Linked DNA regions of Danio rerio. The protein of the gene in region 1 interacts with the protein of each later gene in a pairwise test. Links are inferred from orthologs where the notes say so. Each region holds a gene or a part of one and is shown on either strand. Other genes may lie near its edges.

Region 1 (4,291 bases):
GCTGGGCCTGGCAGCAGGAACATTTCAGACAGCGGCTGTGCCAATAGCTGTCCATGGCATAGAGGAGAAACCGATCAGCAATCTTTCCCCCACAGCCCGCGCAGCGCTTCCACGACAGAGATCCCGCTCCAACAGGTGGGGGCTGGGCACTTCCTCCAGGGTTCACCATTGTGTCTGCAGAAACATAAAGAGACAGGGAGAAACACTGGAGCAGTAAGTCAAGAGTTAAGCAGTTTTTAAATGCGTGTGCAAGAGTACTATTTTATATTCTAGTTTTGTAGCTAAATACAAATCAAAAGCCCTTTCAACAAATGACAAACAGTTGAAATTAAAATTAGTAGCCCCTATTTTATTTATTTATTTATTTATTTTCCTAAATGATGTTTAACAGAGCAAGGAAATTTTCACAGTGTGTCTGATAATATTTTTTTTCTTTTGGAGAAAGTCTTATTTGTTTTATTTCAGCTAGAATGAAAGCAGTTTTTGATTTTTATTTTTTTTTTATTTTAAGGTCAATATTATTAGCTCCTTTAAGCTATTTTTTTCTTTAAAAATCTACAGAACAAACTTCTAAACAAATGTTTAGAAATGTGTTGAAAAAATCCTCTACTTAAACAGAAATTGGGGAAAAATAAACAGGAGGGCTAATAATTTTGACTTCAAAAGTATATATATATATATATATATATATATATATATATATATATATATATATATATATATATATATATATTTGCACACAGTTAAAAAAAGAAAGAAAAGTAACTATAAAAGCATTCAGCATTACTTAAATCCACATCTCACAAAGCAAGCACACCTAAGTTTCCTCAACTTCTGACAGAAGTTTTGTCTTAGAAATATCTAAAACACCTGGAGCCTGAACAGTGACCTAAAACACTGAATGTTTTGGGAGGCACGCTTCCTAAAAGCTCTTTTGAAATAATTTAAATGCATATAATGCCTTCAAGCAAGTCTGAGAATTGTTTAAAGTGGCAGGCTGTCCTTGATCTTTATCTAAGTGCTGAAGTCAGCTCCTTTGGTCCATTTGTGATAAATGTCTGTTCACTGATAACATTAAAGTCACTGGAACAATTAGAAGCACTGGCTTTTGTTAGGTTGTCTGCATTGCTTTAAAAGTACATTTTCCTGAACCTTCATGAGAGAGAGAGAAAGAGAGAGAGGAATCCAAATGCTACTGTTGCCAGAACTGGAGAAGTTAATTGAGGAAGCCTTAAAGTTGTACGACCCATTCAGAGGTCGACATATTCCAATTGCTTTCACTAAGGTTATCAGATGACGGATTTCCAGCCAACATCATGAAGAACATTCAGCAGCATTCGCTTTGGGGACTGGTCACTGCTGCGTGAAATTACCCCTACTATGTTGGATCATTCTGCATATGCAAGAAATCAGTTAATGCCGGCCTACAGAAATATCTGCCTCTGACAGAAATCACATTAACCACAAACCCTCATTTACGATTGCAGTTCTGTGCTTTGCTCTGTTGATCCATCAGTACTGTGTGTGTGCAATGTTTCCCAGGTTTCATAAGGAGGGCTGCTGGACCGAAGTGGGAAAGATTAAAATTTAAGATATATTCGTGAAAGGCTGTAAGCCAAATCTTTGTTGAAAGGTAATTAGAGGAGAAGAGAGAGGCGGGGGGTAGAAAACATTGCACTGAGAGAGAAAGAGAGAGAGAGAGGCATTCAGTAACCCCATTAGTGGAGGCTCTTAGGGACAAGCAATACCTTAGTGCTGATTAAATCTAAAGGGAGATGAATCAGAGACCGAAAGTGACTCCCCCAGATAAATAAGATCGGACCATCGTCAAGTTTCATTCCCTGGAAGAGGGAAGAGGGGAGATTTGAAGAGAGGGAGGGGGTGGCTTTTAAGTCAAATGGGCAAACTCAAGTAATTACACGGACAGGCAATTTAAGAGAGGGGATGTGCAGAAATATAAAACAGATCAGCAGCCCATGGCCAGTAATACAGATCGCGGTGCTGGAGACTAAATACAGCTGCTCCTGCCAGAATGCACAATGCAACATGGACAGAATTGCACTTGTGTTATGGTTTGTTGACCATCTGTACAGCACGCGCGCACTTAAGATGCACTAATAAGATATTAAACTCGAAATGCCAGCAATTTCCAAGATTACGTCTAAATAACCTATGTGGTCTTCTTATGAAACAACGCGCATCGCTCATGTTTAATTCACTAACGTACATTATTACGGTATAAGTGCGTGACATGCAACACAATTTGCACACAAGCACAATACATAAAATCTAGTCATTAAGTAACTGTAATCTTTTATGCTTTCGTGTGTAGTGTTTTTCTGCAACATCAATTCTGTCGCTCCGTAACAAACGTGTCTCGTCAAACTACGAAATATTACCATTCATAAAGCAAAATACGGTTAGTTGAAGAGAAGTGCACTTACCTCTTTGAAATGTAATGGTTGAATGGTGGTGAGAAATGTACAGCAGTCTGTTTTCTCTGTAGAAAATATATAAAAAATAACGCGCACAGTCCAACAAACTCACAGACGGAGCAGCGCGTGGATGAACACTTCTCGCTGCTGCGAAAGAGTCAAGCAAATGGAGTTTTCAGATTATATTTCCACTGTTGCCGTCACCTTTTTTCTCAGATGCTCTTATTATCACTGAAAAGCTCGGCGGCGGGTTTGTTGATGGAGCTGTCGGCAAGGTCTTCGGTAATTTCCATAGATGAAGAGAGCGCTTGTGTTTGTAACTGTCCTCTCTCGCGCGCTGATGTCTCGCCGCTGCTTGTCGCTTGTGCTCTACATGTGTCAGTGACAGAAAAAAACCCAGAGTAAACCTCCTCTCGCAGGATGACGTCAATCAGGCTGTGGCCAATCATGACGCACTCCATTCAAGCGGAATGAGGAATACAGCCAATCAAAAGAAGGCGAGGTTGACTTCGACACACACTGTTCAAAGAAGGAAAGATTGCGGTTGAGAGTGGCTGTCTGCTTGTTGAGGTTGGACAGGGCAGAGGTGTTCAACCGTCGGGACCGGGTCCCACTATGGGGCCTCGGTAAGCGCACAAGGGGTCCCCAAAATGAAACATTTTTAAATAAAAAAACATTTTATACGGAATTAATTCCTCATTTACAGCATAAGACCAACAAGAACCGTACATTCATAATATTTATTATTTAAAGGAGTTGACAGTTTTCACATCTGCATAAAATCACAGCTCCCTGAATATTGTCTTGCATGTTAAGAAAAAGTTTAGATATATTTATTGTATTTTCTGTTACTTTTAGTCTCTGTTATATTACATTATTAATTGGTTTTCATTTTTACTTATATATTTATGTATTTGTCTTTATATATTTGTAATCAAATGTAGTTAATTTATTTGATTAAATATGATTATAAATTTTACATGACTCTTCAACTAAAATATACTTAAAATATTTAGTTTTACAGTTATTAGTTTACTTAATACTAATGTGGTATTAAAATAATAATAATAATAAAATAATAATAAAAATAATAATAACAACAACAATAATATATATATATATATATATATATATATATATATATATATATATATATATATATATATATATATATATATATATATATATATATATATATGTTTTTTTTTTTTTTTTTGTGCAGATATGAATTATTCTACCTTTCCTTTGACATTGAAAGAATGTCTGCAGAGCAAATCCTTCATCTGGAGAACTTCTGCTCCATATCTACAAAACTGATTGTGGAAGTTTCATGCTATTAGTAAGTATTCCAGTGTTTAAGTGTTCCCATATACATATTTCATCTATTTCATATTAGATTGACTGAGGGCTGTGTTAACTATATAAAAGTCTATTTGGTTTCATGGACAAAGTGAAAATTCACTACACCACTACAGAAGTCACGCTCATGTTCTTATAACAGTGGCGCCATCCCCTGGTATAAATGAGAACTAAAACTATAGATTTGTTGGTCGCCTTTTCTAAGATTTAGCTTTGAGACTTAGCATAACCTTAATAAATTCTTTAAAATAAAATAAAATATTCAATAATAAGGTTAACATGTCATGCACATCATTATGTCACAAAATCATGAAACAACTGTTATTCTATTTATTTACAAAGGTCACAAATACACCAAGAAAGAACATCATTTTTTATGTCCGAAGGCTTTTAAAGATGATTTGGGTAGCACTTTATTTTGATGGTCCAATTGAGTATTAGTAGACTGTCTGCTAGATATCTGTTGATACTGCTCCTTCAACAGACATTTAACTGAC
Region 2 (3,519 bases), on another chromosome or scaffold:
TTCCAACCGGGCCAGGGCCAGCCAAGTGAACCATGCCTGAGCCCGATTCAGCGCACTCACACTTCTCCAGGAAACGGGCATGGGCACGGTTCAAATAGCATAGTGTGAGTAGGCCCTAATTGGGGTTGAAGCTAAACTCTGCAGGACACTGACCCTCAAGGACCGAGTTTGGACAGGCCTGGTCTATAGTCTTAAAATAATTGACAATAAAACTATTATAACATTGTTTTAATGTCTACTGTCTTTCAACATGATGATGGTCAATTGCAGATCTTATGCAAGCATATTCATGTCGCCGTGATCCTGTTTAACTACTGTTTTCTTTCCGCCATTAACATTCACGTTTAGGTTCTTGCATGTTAAGGCTTGTGCACACCGGGATGATTATTAAGCACAATGAGGTATATGCAGAGCTAGTGTTTTTCAGCCAATGATAAATTTCTGGTGAAAGCTTAATGTAAATATTTTCATTTTCATAAGGTTTAACAGCATCAATGTTATTATGTAATTACAATAAATTCAGTTTAATAGACTAAAGCATGCGTTCAGTTGTTTAATCGTAATATTAGATGAAAAGACTGTATTCGCTAGCGCTGTCAGGATCAGCAGGTGAGCGCAGAAACTTTATTGAAAATACTGGGGTAAACATATTCTAAAGAGATGGCGGACGAAAAAGGAATTTAATGCAGTGCTTCTTCTTGTCCGGTCTGGACACACTTCATATCATATATCTATCAGGAAGCAAAGATCGCTGATTTTTAAAGAAATAAGACCTTAAACATGGCAGTTTTATAATGGAAAGACAGTTGCTGGAAGTGAAAATGTCCCAGCATGCACAATGTTTTGTGTGTGAACAAATGTAAGCACAAACAATAATAATGCGTTCACACCAAACGTGGACGAAGCATCAATCGCGTGTGATTTACATGATTGACATTCCGCAGCACGAATGGCACAATTTGTGTGAATAAAGAGACATGAGTTAAGCGTTTTGTGCATTTGAACTTAAGCATAGATTCGCGTCAGGAGTTTTCTCTTGTAGGGGCATGATTATGACGTTATGCTTTTTGATCCTGTAGAAAATCCTCTTGCAGACACCAGACAACAGCTTATCAAACTGGGCTCGGCTCAGTCAGAGGCATCACTGAAAGCCTCCATCATCCAGGTATACTTTCCAAAGGAGTTTATAAACTCACAGAGCTGGGTGCACCTCTGAAAGGATCTAGTGGACTTAGACATGGTGCCGAAGAAATATACGCTGTTTTTCAGCGTTCTTAATGCACATAAAACACAGCTATTCTCTTAATAAAGTCCATGTAAGCCATTTAGCAACAAAGCTAGAGTCACTGGGCAAAAAGAAGTGCAAATCTGCATCTATAGTAAAGTGAATTTGACGTGCGAATGAAGTGAGTAAATGTCCGTGCATATATTCGCACATGCCGCATCTGGTTGAACGCAGCATACGAGGGGAACTGTAACTCATTGATTGGCCACTGGTGTCGCTAAAAACAAGTTTTTTATTTTTATTTCCTTTTGCCGTTTTGTAAGTGAAGTTAGAGAGAGAGACTAGGGCAAGATTGAATAAGGTCTGTGAGTTGGGAATCAGAACGCTCACAGTGCAGTTGTGCTATATGTTGCTAACAGCACTGATAAGTCTTTCTAAACTTGCATACAGCCACTTTAACCAACAACATTCTCAACAACATACACTTCTGTAACATTTCTTACACAGAAGGCTCTTTACCTGTGTTGTCTGCTCTCGCTTCTGTACTAAGTGCCTGTGCAGATAGAAGATCCATTTCTGGGTTTGCGCCAATCGAAGCCTCTCCGTAAGACAAAGACGGTCTGGGATATTCATCTCTGTGCAGGACACCCATAGCGTCAATCCGTCCAGGATGAGGTAAAGTGGGCATACTCTGACTGCACGCTGGATTAGAGTTCATGTGCACTTTATTTTGGGTAACATGGAAAGGTGCACGCAGTGGCTTGATCATGGAAGTAGGAGAACTGTCCAAGGGAGATGACGACACCCCCATTGAGTCTCCATCTATGGAAGAAGGTTTCTGGGACATCAAAGGTGTGCTCTGGAGGTTCGGTTTGGGCAACTCGGTAGAGCGGTTTATCTCTGAACTGCTGGGAATCTGTGGATTGGCCAAACTGTAGTAATCTTCGCCTCTTTCTTGTTTGATTTTCTTCAAGGAGGGGTCAATACTGTCTTCATGTCCCGTCCCTTTTCCATGTCTTTTCCTGTGCGAGATGTTTGGCGTGTGATTGAAGTCAGAATCACCATCTTCATCAGTTGCTGATGATTCACAGACTATGTCGTACAAGTTGTTGTTATACTCCTCGCCATTATCGTCCATTTCTGAAGGTTCACTGCAGTTGGAAATATCGCAGGAGTCGTGGATCTGATTGGAATCGCCTTTGTTTTTTTTTCCGAGGAATCGATCTGCCGAGGAGTTTTGCATGGCGGCGGCGGCCTGAATCATAGTGTCTGTGTTGATGCTCCGACTTTCCTGGAAACACATGCGCTCCTTGTTTCCGGTTTTGCAGGTGGTGTTGAGGGGCCAGTGGTAGGCATGCCCGGCGCTGCAGCCCCACAGGGCCGTGAGGGTCCCATGGGAGCCCTCGTTCAGCATGTGTTTGAGGTTGGGGATCAAGGTGCAGATTGTCCCGTGACTGTGGGCCCATTTCACTAGTTTAGCGAGGTTGTCAGAGGAAGTGTGCAAGCAGTCCTCCATGTTGAGCCTCCTCCCCTGGGATGACAAAATGAATAGATTTTTTCAAATCCAATTAGATTTGCATATCAAGCCAACAAGAATTGAAAACTGCCTCCCTAATAATAAAATCATTAGAATGTTCATAATATGAGCTAATATATGATTTTTTTAACAAATGATACATTTCCTAATATGTTTTTCAGTTTATCTTCTGTGTAATTTATTCAACTGGTTTTTAAACCTACAATCAAACAAAAAAAAACAAAAAAAAAACAATATGTATTGCATTTAGAAATTAGGTGAATTTACATTTAAAGAATCAAGTGACATCAAATACTAAGATGTTCATATTAAATTTCCAATTAAGTATTTTACCTCAGTCTTAAGCAAAAAAACTCTTACGCAAAAAAGTCAAATTTCTGAAAAAAAAAAAAGTTTAATATAATAAACGATAATAAGCTGAAATAAATACACTTCATAAAAGGGGTTAAAGGTATTGATTTACCCAAAGTTTAATCAATTACTCAACCTTATACCATTCAACCTTCATTTTACAACACTGTAAAATCCAACAGTCAACTTTATCAAATGAAATGAGTGTAGTTAACTCAAAATTTACTGAAAGTTAATTAACTCATCTAAAAAGAGTTTTGAACTCAGTGTTGAAGGTAATGAGTTAATTAAATAACTCATCATTTCTTCAACTTAAATGGAGTAAGTTCACAGGTCTCACATAGATTAGCTTTTTTTTTTTTACTCAAATGGTTTGTAGCAATCGGTTTCCTCAAATGGTTTGAGT

What was found. The genes of interacting proteins can lie anywhere in the genome.
Region 2: the proteins of lmo4b (region 1) and kiaa1958 interact in binary tests that used the Homo sapiens proteins (3 or more experiments, as listed by UniProt). The two-hybrid records come from large-scale screens. The link is inferred for Danio rerio from reciprocal best matches to the Homo sapiens genes LMO4 and KIAA1958.

The regions. Positions count from the first base shown.
Region 1 is NC_133181.1:28,424,081-28,428,371, forward strand, and holds the start of lmo4b (LIM domain transcription factor LMO4b), read right to left. Parts: upstream 2,816-4,291; 5' UTR 2,445-2,815; intron 175-2,444; 5' UTR 170-174; coding exon 1-169. UniProt on the Homo sapiens protein: Transcription cofactor. Plays a role in establishing motor neuron identity, in concert with MNX1, acting, at least in part, to disrupt LDB1-LHX3 complexes thereby negatively modulating interneuron genes in motor neurons.
Region 2 is NC_133185.1:11,943,957-11,947,475, reverse strand, and holds part of kiaa1958 (uncharacterized protein KIAA1958 homolog), read right to left. Parts: intron 2,757-3,519; coding exon 1,745-2,756; intron 1-1,744.